Bombyx mori: one gene and its partner. The protein of the gene in region 2 purifies or fractionates together with the protein of the main gene of each other region. This does not show direct contact. Links are inferred from orthologs where the notes say so. Each region holds a gene or a part of one and is shown on either strand. Other genes may lie near its edges.

Region 1 (5,291 bases), on a different chromosome or scaffold from region 2:
GATTCACGAGCCTTCTTTGTTGGATCTTCTGCTAACCACTCTCCCCTAGCTGGATACAGTGCGGTGGTCGACGCTCCCCTTGGATCGTCTGATTACTGGCTTATCCGTTCTGCGATACCACTCTCTCGCCCTGGTCGTTGAACGACGACCGGGTTTCGAAGATTTGGGCGGTACAGGTCAGCAGATTGGGGTGGAACCCGTGAATTTTACGCATCCTACCCATGGAGGCGGCTCTACTTTTCCTCCAATGATCCTGACGTCTGTGCGGATCGACTTAAAGGCGTGGTGCTTCAGGGAATTAATTATTCATTCCTTCTTCGGAGGTGCCCGTTGAGGGTCGCAGTAAAACCTCGGTATAATAAAGCTAGTAAGGATGCTGCACGCCTCAAGCAGTCGGCATACGCGGCATGGAATGATGTTAGGAGACGCCGGGATCCTGACAGTTCGGAGAAAAGGCAGAAAGGAGAAACCCCATTCTGGGCCTAAGCGTTACACGAATGGGATATGTACTGAACTCCCCTTTCCGGTCTTCACTGAGCGCTATGACATGTTTTTCTTCACGCGAGGCTTGTGGAGAGTATTAAACGCTAGGCAGCGACTTGACTCTGCCCCTGGCATTGCTGACGTCCATGAGCGGCGGCAACCACTTACCATCAGGTGGGCCGTATGCTCGTCTGCCTAGTCAGCAATAAAAAAAAATTCAAATCATATTTCGCATCCAGGCTCAGAGATCTGAATCGAAGGCTACGAAGAATATTTTTTGCCGACCTTATAGCCTCTGCGTAAGTCTGGTAGCAGTCTGGCGCATACTACAACGGCAGAAGAAGGCCCATACTGTGTAGGTACTAAAGAGGTGTGCCTCCGAATCGAGATCCGCATTAATATGGTATTTCAAAAAGTACCAATTTCGTAGTTGTCACCAATGTCCACCTCATCCATTGAAAAGATCCGGCGAGAAACTCAGTGGTCAATAGCTATCGCTTCTGCTATAACACTCTCCTTCGAGACTGGGAGGTCATAGTTAGTACCTATAGTAAATTAGTGACGTCGTTGCTAAGATTAATCTGATAATGCCATGGCCGCTTGAAGTCTATAGTAAATCGTTACTTCGCGTTAACACGCTTCTTAATGTGAAACTTGGTACATATCATCAATTCCTTGGACGGAGTATCAAAATTGATCTCGGAGACTGCTGCATCGATAACATGCTGGTGTACCACAGGGCTCGGTGTTCCCCACGCTTTTTTATACTCCAAATAAAACACATAATCAATGTGTGTAGTTAAATGATGGCATATATTATGGATGCGGATGATGGGACGAGGGTATACGGTAGAGCGGTATTTAGTTTCATTCGGAAATTGTAAAAGGAGAAGCGAACTGCTTCTCAAAATACTTCACAACGAAGAATACTTCTGAATACAACACAAAACTTTTGTCTTTTTTAAAATCCAATTTAGAAACATATTTTTTGTAATATTTTTCATTTTCATTAAATACTAATGCTATGGATAACAAGTTTCAAAATTAAGAATCCAAATACTTACGTAAATATGTTTATTGCACTTTATCCCATAATTATTTTAAATTTTATTTCACACAAGTTATTTTAGTTAGTAATGTTAACTAGGAAAACTATATGAACGAAAACCCCAAACGAAACAGACACTTTAACCACTGAACGCTTTAATTACGTATTTCTCCTTCGTTGGGTAAGGTTCGCACTGTTCCTTGTGGATGTGGATACAAAACAAATTACAAACGAAATATACGACAGTAGCCCACGTGACTACAAACAACGTTATTCGACGAACCAATAGTAGGTCACGCTCACGAAGTCGCGTGTACGACGCACGTGCTCCTGAGGGCAGGCTTGAGTCGGCTTGACGTACGTACTACGTAGTACGTAGATTGCTATAGTTTTATTTTAGCTATAGTACATTATTTTGTAGTCTTAATGTACACAATATTTATACTTATGGCCAGAGTTGGGCGAAACATGACACTGAAAAAAGGGTTAACTATTTCCGATCAAATATACAACTCCTTTTTTAATCATTTAAAAAACTGAACTGTCTGATTAGTAGAATCTGCCGAAAGCAAGATGGAGGAAAGCGGTAACGAATCCGCTTAAATAAATAGGCTTACCCCTTGGCCACAGCCGAGAGCGGTGCGAATTGCGGTGCGTCATGAGGCGCGGCAAGCGGGAGCGGCGAAAACAAATGGTAGACAACCTATGAAGTATGCCACAGCTACTGGCGGTGCGTTTTGCGGTGCGTTGCGAGGCGCGGTGAGAGGTGCGTGACATCTGGCGGCGACGAGCTGCGCCATGTGCGAGTGAAACAAATGTACTAGACAATATGGAGGTGGCCACAGCTCAGAGCGGCGCGCGCGGCGGTGTCGGTGGACGCATTGAGGCATCGCGCGACCGAAACAAATCATTTTGTTTTTACCGCGCGTTGAGCTAATAAAATATAATGGATGTGGAACAATTCATTAGTGAAATACTGAGTAGACCAGAAATATGGATGTCAAAACATCCACATCATAAATATAGGCATGTTATAAAAAAAATGTGGGATGAAATAAAACAACAATTTTCTGGTACTAATGGTTTCCTAGATACTCTTGGATAGGATTATTGAAATAAAATTTGAAATTTGAATTGATTTCGTATTCTAGATGCTTGAACCGTTTCTCGATTATTCCGTCTTGATCTGCGTACGCTATTGTGAATATTGGAGTCTCCAAACTGGGAAATAAACTGCTGAAAATCTGCATCTCTGTCTCCATCACTTTCTGTTAAGGCACGAAACCTTTATAATCAATGTCGCGTGCTTTTTGTTTGCCTGTACACTTTTCGTAAAAATACGAAATTTATTAGTTAGAATACCAAACGCGTACTGAATTGTGACACTTGTCCGGGATAATGTTTTGTCGAAAATTATTTGTTCCGCATTTAAACCACCCGGTGGATATGGGCGCATCAAATAATTTTTAAGAGGATAGGCTTTATCAGCAATTAACACGTATGGTAAATTTAGATTTGAACCTGGTAATATCTGTGAAGGTTGAATCTATTAATAATCTATTTATCGGGATAGTTCTTATATTCCTAATATAATACCTAATAAATAGGGTGGAATTCGCCAAGTTCTCTCTTTTTCTTACTGGGTGCGCTCCTATTCTTGATTGAATAATATCTTCAGCTAAGAACGCACTTATTTCAAGGTAATATCGTGCCACTTTTGAAAGGGAATTTTGATAGGGCTTTCTAAATACGTCCACCTCTGACGCCGCCGCCGTCGCAACTAGTCTAGCTGTGGCATACCCCCGCAAATCACGCCGCCCGCCGCGCCTCGCAACGCACCGCAAAACGCACCGCCAGTAGCTGTGGCCAGGCCCTTAGTATTATCAAGTGTCAGTCAACCTTTAATGAATAACTACGATTGTTAGCAAAAAACTATATGATTGAAAACTATATAACGATATAAAAACTATATTAGAATGATCTATTTAGAAATCAGTGCTAGATATTTTCTGGATAGGATATAAAGAACTGGTTACCGATAAATAAATTCGCTCTTTTAGAAAGATTTATATAATTTAAACATCTTGTTCGTGATCGAAACAATCCTATTTGTAGCTCTAAGTTTATTTATGTTATAGCTTAATATTAAATCAGCGTAACATTTTTGGTCTCTTTCTTTATTTAAGATTTCTCAAACATCGATGTATCGTTCATATGCATCGATTTTAAACCTAAAACATCGAGTATACAAGGTTCTTCATGAACGATATGTACGATGCTTGTGATTTAAAGCTACACACATCAACAGATTCATCTCTGAATCACAAGTTTTTTTTTGCTTCCTAATGGGGTTTCGACGAATAGGCATGATGACAGTAGTCAAGTATCGCTAAAATATATAACTGATCTAATGAAACAGGATTCCTAGATTTTGAAAAATGTGTTTAGGTATATTAATGACGAGATTTATGATTTGTTTGTTTGTTTTTTTTTTTATTGCCCTTGTAGGAATACGAGCATACGGCCCACCTGATGGTGAGTGGTTACCGTCGCCCATGGACTTCAGCAATGCCAGGGGCAGAGCCAAGCCGCTGCCTACCGCTTAATACTCTCCACAAGCCTCGTTTGAAAAAGGACATGTCATAGCGCTCGGGAAACACCGTGGAGGGGCGCTCATTCCATAGCCGGATGGTACGTGGCAAAAAAGATCTCTGGAAACGCACTGTGGATGACCGCAGTGGCTCCAGGTAGTATGGATGAACTCTACTCCGGTGGCGGGCGGTGCGATGGTAAAAACGAGATGCCGGTATCGTCTCGAACAATTCCTCTTGTTGTTTGTTAAAATAAATCAACAAAATACAACAATCAGCCATGATAGCTGAAACCTTAAACACTAATCAGAGCGAATGACGTCACGTCTTAGTAAACGTCATCTTGTTTCGTTTGAGTTTACGCGCGATTACTGCAATTTTAACAAAAAAACTTATTGTATTCGCTTTACCTGTCGCTAAAATATATTTTATAATCGTATAATAAAATATATTTTATCAAGTCTGCCCCTTCCAACACTACATGACGATCACAACCACTCTGTCAAGAGTGACACGGCTGAGAAAAAGAAGAAGAGAATCGTAATTTACCATTTTCACAACAGAAGTTCCACAAAAGCCATCAGCAAGCTCTCTAAATGGGTTATTTAATCTAATTTTGTTTACACTCATGAGTATATTTTGTTAGCAGGAATATTAGTACCGTAAAATGGGGCGATTAGGGATTGAGAGGCGAATGGGGAAAAAACCAAGAAAATCTTTCGACGCTCAATATTAGTTTTATAATCGTTGCAAAATCTTCTATTTTTTGTAGTGTAATAGTAGAATGTTGAAAGTTCACAAAACAACTCTGAATATGTGTGATAATAGCTGCTAACTTATAAAAAATCACATTTCAAATTAACTTTTTGTGGTGGTAATTATTTTAGTGTTAGAAACTTTGATTTCTTTTATTTATCTGATAATAATAGAAGACGACTGTGATTTATAAACGTTATTTAGAGTTTGAACCATTAAGTATCAGTTGTTATTGGTTTTAATGTTTTTGATAAAATAAAAATACATGTAAAAATCTGTTGTTTTTGGGGATATTGGGGACGTGTCAGGTATAAATAAGAACGAAAAAGGGGTCAATTGGGATGAGAATAAGTAAAATGGAAACGAACTAATTATAAATATGTACAGGTTTGTAGGGCTGTCTATGTAGTTAT
Region 2 (4,535 bases):
CTTTTGTTATCCCTTTGTTTATTGTCAAATTTTTGTTATTGCTTATAATGTGATCAAATTGAGAATATATTAATATTGTTTGTCTTTATATTGATTTGTCTATAGTGTAGTCGAAATCTGTGATTATAGAAGTATAATAATAGTCTTTGACAATAGAACCTTAATAATGTTCAAACTTATAATTTTAGTTAATTATAGTCGAATTTCGACTACTGCGGGACCACTAGTCTACATTTAATTTATATACGTAAGCCGTGTTCGCAATGCGTGAATATATAAATAGAATTAATTGTACATACAAATTCGATCGCTCACAACTAATCATCAGTAAGAACAATAGTTTTTTAGTGTCAACAATACCGAGCCCAGTACATATCGACGCTTGAAAGGCAAACGTGACTAAGCGACAATAACTGCTTTGTACATAAGTGATGGGCAATAACCATATTCGATGCGCAAAAAATATATATTTCTAGGTCTATTAAAATAATTTCAATACTATAGCTAGATTCGTTAAAATAGATTTTTTTTCAGGTATTTCAACTATAAATTAGTCTACTGTAAAGTTCACGCATTGTCGCTTAGTCATGTTTGTCTTTCAGGCGTCGATATGATTCTCTACGCACAAATCGTAGTTTGTTTCTGGAATATCTGTCTTCGTGTTACGTCATATTCTTAGTGTAACAAATACAGTTGACTGTTTACATAATCCACAGAAATTAGAATACTAAATGTACGGAGAAAAAAAGGCAACGTTTCTCAATACTCATTGAAATTCATATAGTTACAAATACACAGATACGTTTTGTCTATCTTGTACCGTCATTGTTGAGTTTTTAACAGTCTTCAAATAAAACATATCTAGCATTAGTTCTCTCTATGACAAATACCTAATAGTAAAAATGTTTTTTTTTTGTTTTTAGTGTTTGGTCTAAAGAGAAATGGACCAGTCAATAGATCTTCACATCACTATTACTTTTCATCCTCTCCTGCATTTCCTATCATTTGAGTATATATATCCATGACATACTATGAAATTTTGAAATAAGCTTTCCTTCGTGGCGTTAACTTATGAGAAGTCTTTCTTCAAACACCGGGTTTGAGGAGAGCATATTACAGTAGGCTTCCGCCTGGTTGTACCTCTAGCCATACAACCGTACTCTAGGAAATTTCATAATGGACAAAAACATAAAATAAAGAGTTTGCCTTAAATTTTGCAACGCCAATGAAATTTCTATTTTCGGAGTCACTGAAAACTTTTAAAGAAGGCTTTCGGTGAATCGACTTTATCAAAAACACGTGTTTACGTGTGCATGAGCATATCAAGTAGAGTATGTAGGCGATAAAATAAATTTGGATGAATCACTAACATTTTTTTTTATTTATGAAACGCATTACTGCTTCACGGCAGAAATAAGCGGGGCGATGGTACCTGCCCGTGCGGACTCACAAGAGGTCCTAATACCACTAATTACGCAAATTACAATTTAGCGGGTTGAGTACGTAAATTGCGAAACTTACCTAATAACTCGATGAGTGCATACGACAAACTCCGGTTTCGAGTTCCATTGATGATAAGTGATGTAGAAACGAGTCTGAAGCCAAATCCACTGTTGACCTTTCGTCAGGAATCGATAGTAGCAGGATGTGAGTTCACCTTTCTGCATCACTGGAAACAAATATATACATCTAAATTAGATTATTTTTTGGGGAGCTCTTGATGTTTTTGTTTAACATAATATACATACTCGTAATAATAAATGGGAAACGGTGGTCAATGAAGTTGTTCTGTTATCACTTGACAGCCAGTAGAGACCGGTTTATTTGTTTAGCGTAATTACTTTATACAATCTTATATCATAAAGTAATGTTTTATTAATTAGAAATTAAAGATTTCGAATCATTAAAGTCCTATTATTGTTGCTATACTTTTTAAAGTAAACATATTTCTGTTAAGCAAATAATACGATTAAGCCAATGCTAATCCGACAATAGGATGATGTTTTTTTTTTAGATTTTTTTTAACCTGTTTTGCGGCAGAAATAGTCAAAACGATGGTGGTGGAACCTTGAGGTTTCAAAACCACAATAATTCATACGCCCAGCCATGTCAAATCTCTATTATAAATAAGTAACGGAACTAATTTTAAAGGTATAAATCTGAGTTATAAAATATAGTATCGGTTAACGACAATATAGTGATAAAAACGATCAATCATACAACAACAATGGACGGTAAGAATTTGTTTGACCCAACAATTTATTGTAACATAAATTAATATGAAATATATTCATGAAACGGCATATTATTATGGTGTGACGTGCAACAGTCATGAATTTGTATTGCAAACATCAAAATTTATCTAGAACATTCACCGGAGAGAGAGCATTGACATGTTTCTGGTTTAAAGAGATCTTGTTGACAGCATAATATGTTTTCAATATTCTCTTCCGACTAACGTGATTCGTCGAACCCGGAATAATTATCATATGCAGTAGAAACATGCATTAATCAAAAATACATTTATGCAATATTTGAACCCTAGGGATTCTTACATCCTTTATACTCGTAATAGGTATCTGCCTATGAAATTGCCGTTTTAAAATACTGCTCAATTGAAATTGATGAAACCCGTATTCGCACGAAAACTTAGGCCAACAATGACGAATTAAAGGCGATCGTGGAAGCTGACGATCCTCAATTTACTGCAGAGTTAGCAGTTGTTTTCAATTTTAGTATCACAACAACATTGGTCCTATTGCGTCAAGAATGGCATTTAAAAATTAGCACTTCGCTGGTAGGGATGAACCGATACCATGGGTGCACATTTTGTTTGATAGAAATAAAAAAACTATACATAAAAAATGACTTCAACTTAACGTACAGTATGAGATTTTTAATATAATGCGTATGAGATTTCGATCTCATGTTTTACGACCTTTACAATTTTTTTTTGTTTTACGACTTTTTAAGGTTTACCTGTATATGCGTAATCAATCGTGAATTATGATAGTTACTCCGAAACAGTAAACCAATGTCGCAATGACTTTTTCAATTCCATGAATGCATGTTTACTTGCATAATAATAATATGAATTAATACTATACAAAGTAATTAGGTTTTGAAACTAATTAAAGGCATTCAACGAATACCACAATGCTCGAAGCCATCGAACAAACATCACACTTGTGGAATATTGTAGGATTTCAATACAAAACAATAATTTCTGCTATTCTGCAGTTCGATATTAGTTTTTAGGTCAAGTACAGTATTGACGCATTATTAAACTTTTATATAATACCTATAATCAATAGAGAGTAAAAATAAATGCCAATGGCGATATTAAAATATTTTTCGTATTTTTTTTTTTTTTATTGCCGTTGTAGGCAGACGAGCATACAGCCCACCTGATGGTGAGTGGTTACCGTCGCCCATGGACTTCAGCAATGCCAAGGGCAGAGCCAAGCCGCTGCCTACCGCTTAATACTCTCCACAAGCCTCGTTTGAAGAAAGACATGTCATAGCGCTCGGGAAACACCGTGGAGGGGAGCTCATTCCATAGCCGGATGGTACGTGGCAAAAAAGATCTCTGGAAACGCACTGTGGATGACCGCAGTGGCTCCAAGTAGTATGGATGGACTCTACTCTGGTGGCGGGCGGTGCGATGGTAAAAACGAGACGTTGGTATCATCTCGAACAATTCCTCAGAGCACTCCCCATGGAACATGCGGTACAAAATACAGAGGGAACCGAAGTCCCTCAGCAGACCCAGAGGCTCCAAACGATCCGTGAGAATGGGATTATCGACAATCCGAACGGCTCTCTTCTGTATGGAGTTAAATGGAAGAAGCTGGTATTTGGGAGCCCCGGCCCAGAGATGGGAGCAGTACTCCACGCGAGGCCGGACTTGTGCTTTATAGAGCAAAAGTCTTTGTCCAGGTGTGAAGTACCGCTTGGCTCTGTTGAGGACTCCCAGCATTTTGGACGCCAACTTGGCTTTGCCTTCCAAATGACTCCGAAACTGGACATCGCTCGAAATGTCGACCCAAAGTATCCCAATACTCTCGGAAGGTTGTAGGGATACTCCTTGGAATTGCGGCGCCATGACAAAGGGGTCCTTCTTCGCAGTGAACGCGCAAACTTGTGTCTTTATCGGGTTGAATTGAACCAAGTTCAATTCACCCCATTCGGAGACTCGCCCCAGAGAGTTCTCCACTTCAGACACAAGTTTTGATCGTCTCTCTTGCACCATGCTCCGAGAGAGACTCTGGTGGCCGATATATTGCGCATCCCCCGTGCTGTCATCTGCATAGCAATGCATGCCATCAATAGACAGCATGTCATTGATATACAGGATGAAAAGCGTGGGGGAGAGCACCGAACCTTATGGAACGCCAGCGTTAATGGTCATGGTATCAGAGCAGTCACCGTCTACAACGACCGTGATGCTCCGCCCATTCAAGAAGCTAGCGATCCACTTGCAGAGACCCTCGGGGATTCCGTAAGATGGTAACTTCTATAGAAGTACCCTATGC

The links. The genes of interacting proteins can lie anywhere in the genome.
Region 1: the proteins of circadian locomoter output cycles protein kaput (region 2) and timeless purify together in Drosophila melanogaster (affinity purification with western blotting, with the first as the bait; 4 studies listed by BioGRID). This does not show direct contact. The link is inferred for Bombyx mori from reciprocal best matches to the Drosophila melanogaster genes Clk and tim.

The regions. Positions count from the first base shown.
Region 1 is NC_085110.1:8,682,269-8,687,559, reverse strand, and holds the start of timeless, read right to left. Parts: upstream 3,394-5,291; 5' UTR 2,149-3,393; intron 1-2,148. UniProt on the Drosophila melanogaster protein: Required for the production of circadian rhythms. The biological cycle depends on the rhythmic formation and nuclear localization of the TIM-PER complex. Light induces the degradation of TIM, which promotes elimination of PER.
Region 2 is NC_085107.1:11,774,397-11,778,931, forward strand, and holds part of circadian locomoter output cycles protein kaput, read right to left. Parts: intron 1,670-4,535; coding exon 1,522-1,669; intron 1-1,521. UniProt on the Drosophila melanogaster protein: Circadian regulator that acts as a transcription factor and generates a rhythmic output with a period of about 24 hours. Oscillates in antiphase to the cycling observed for period (PER) and timeless (TIM).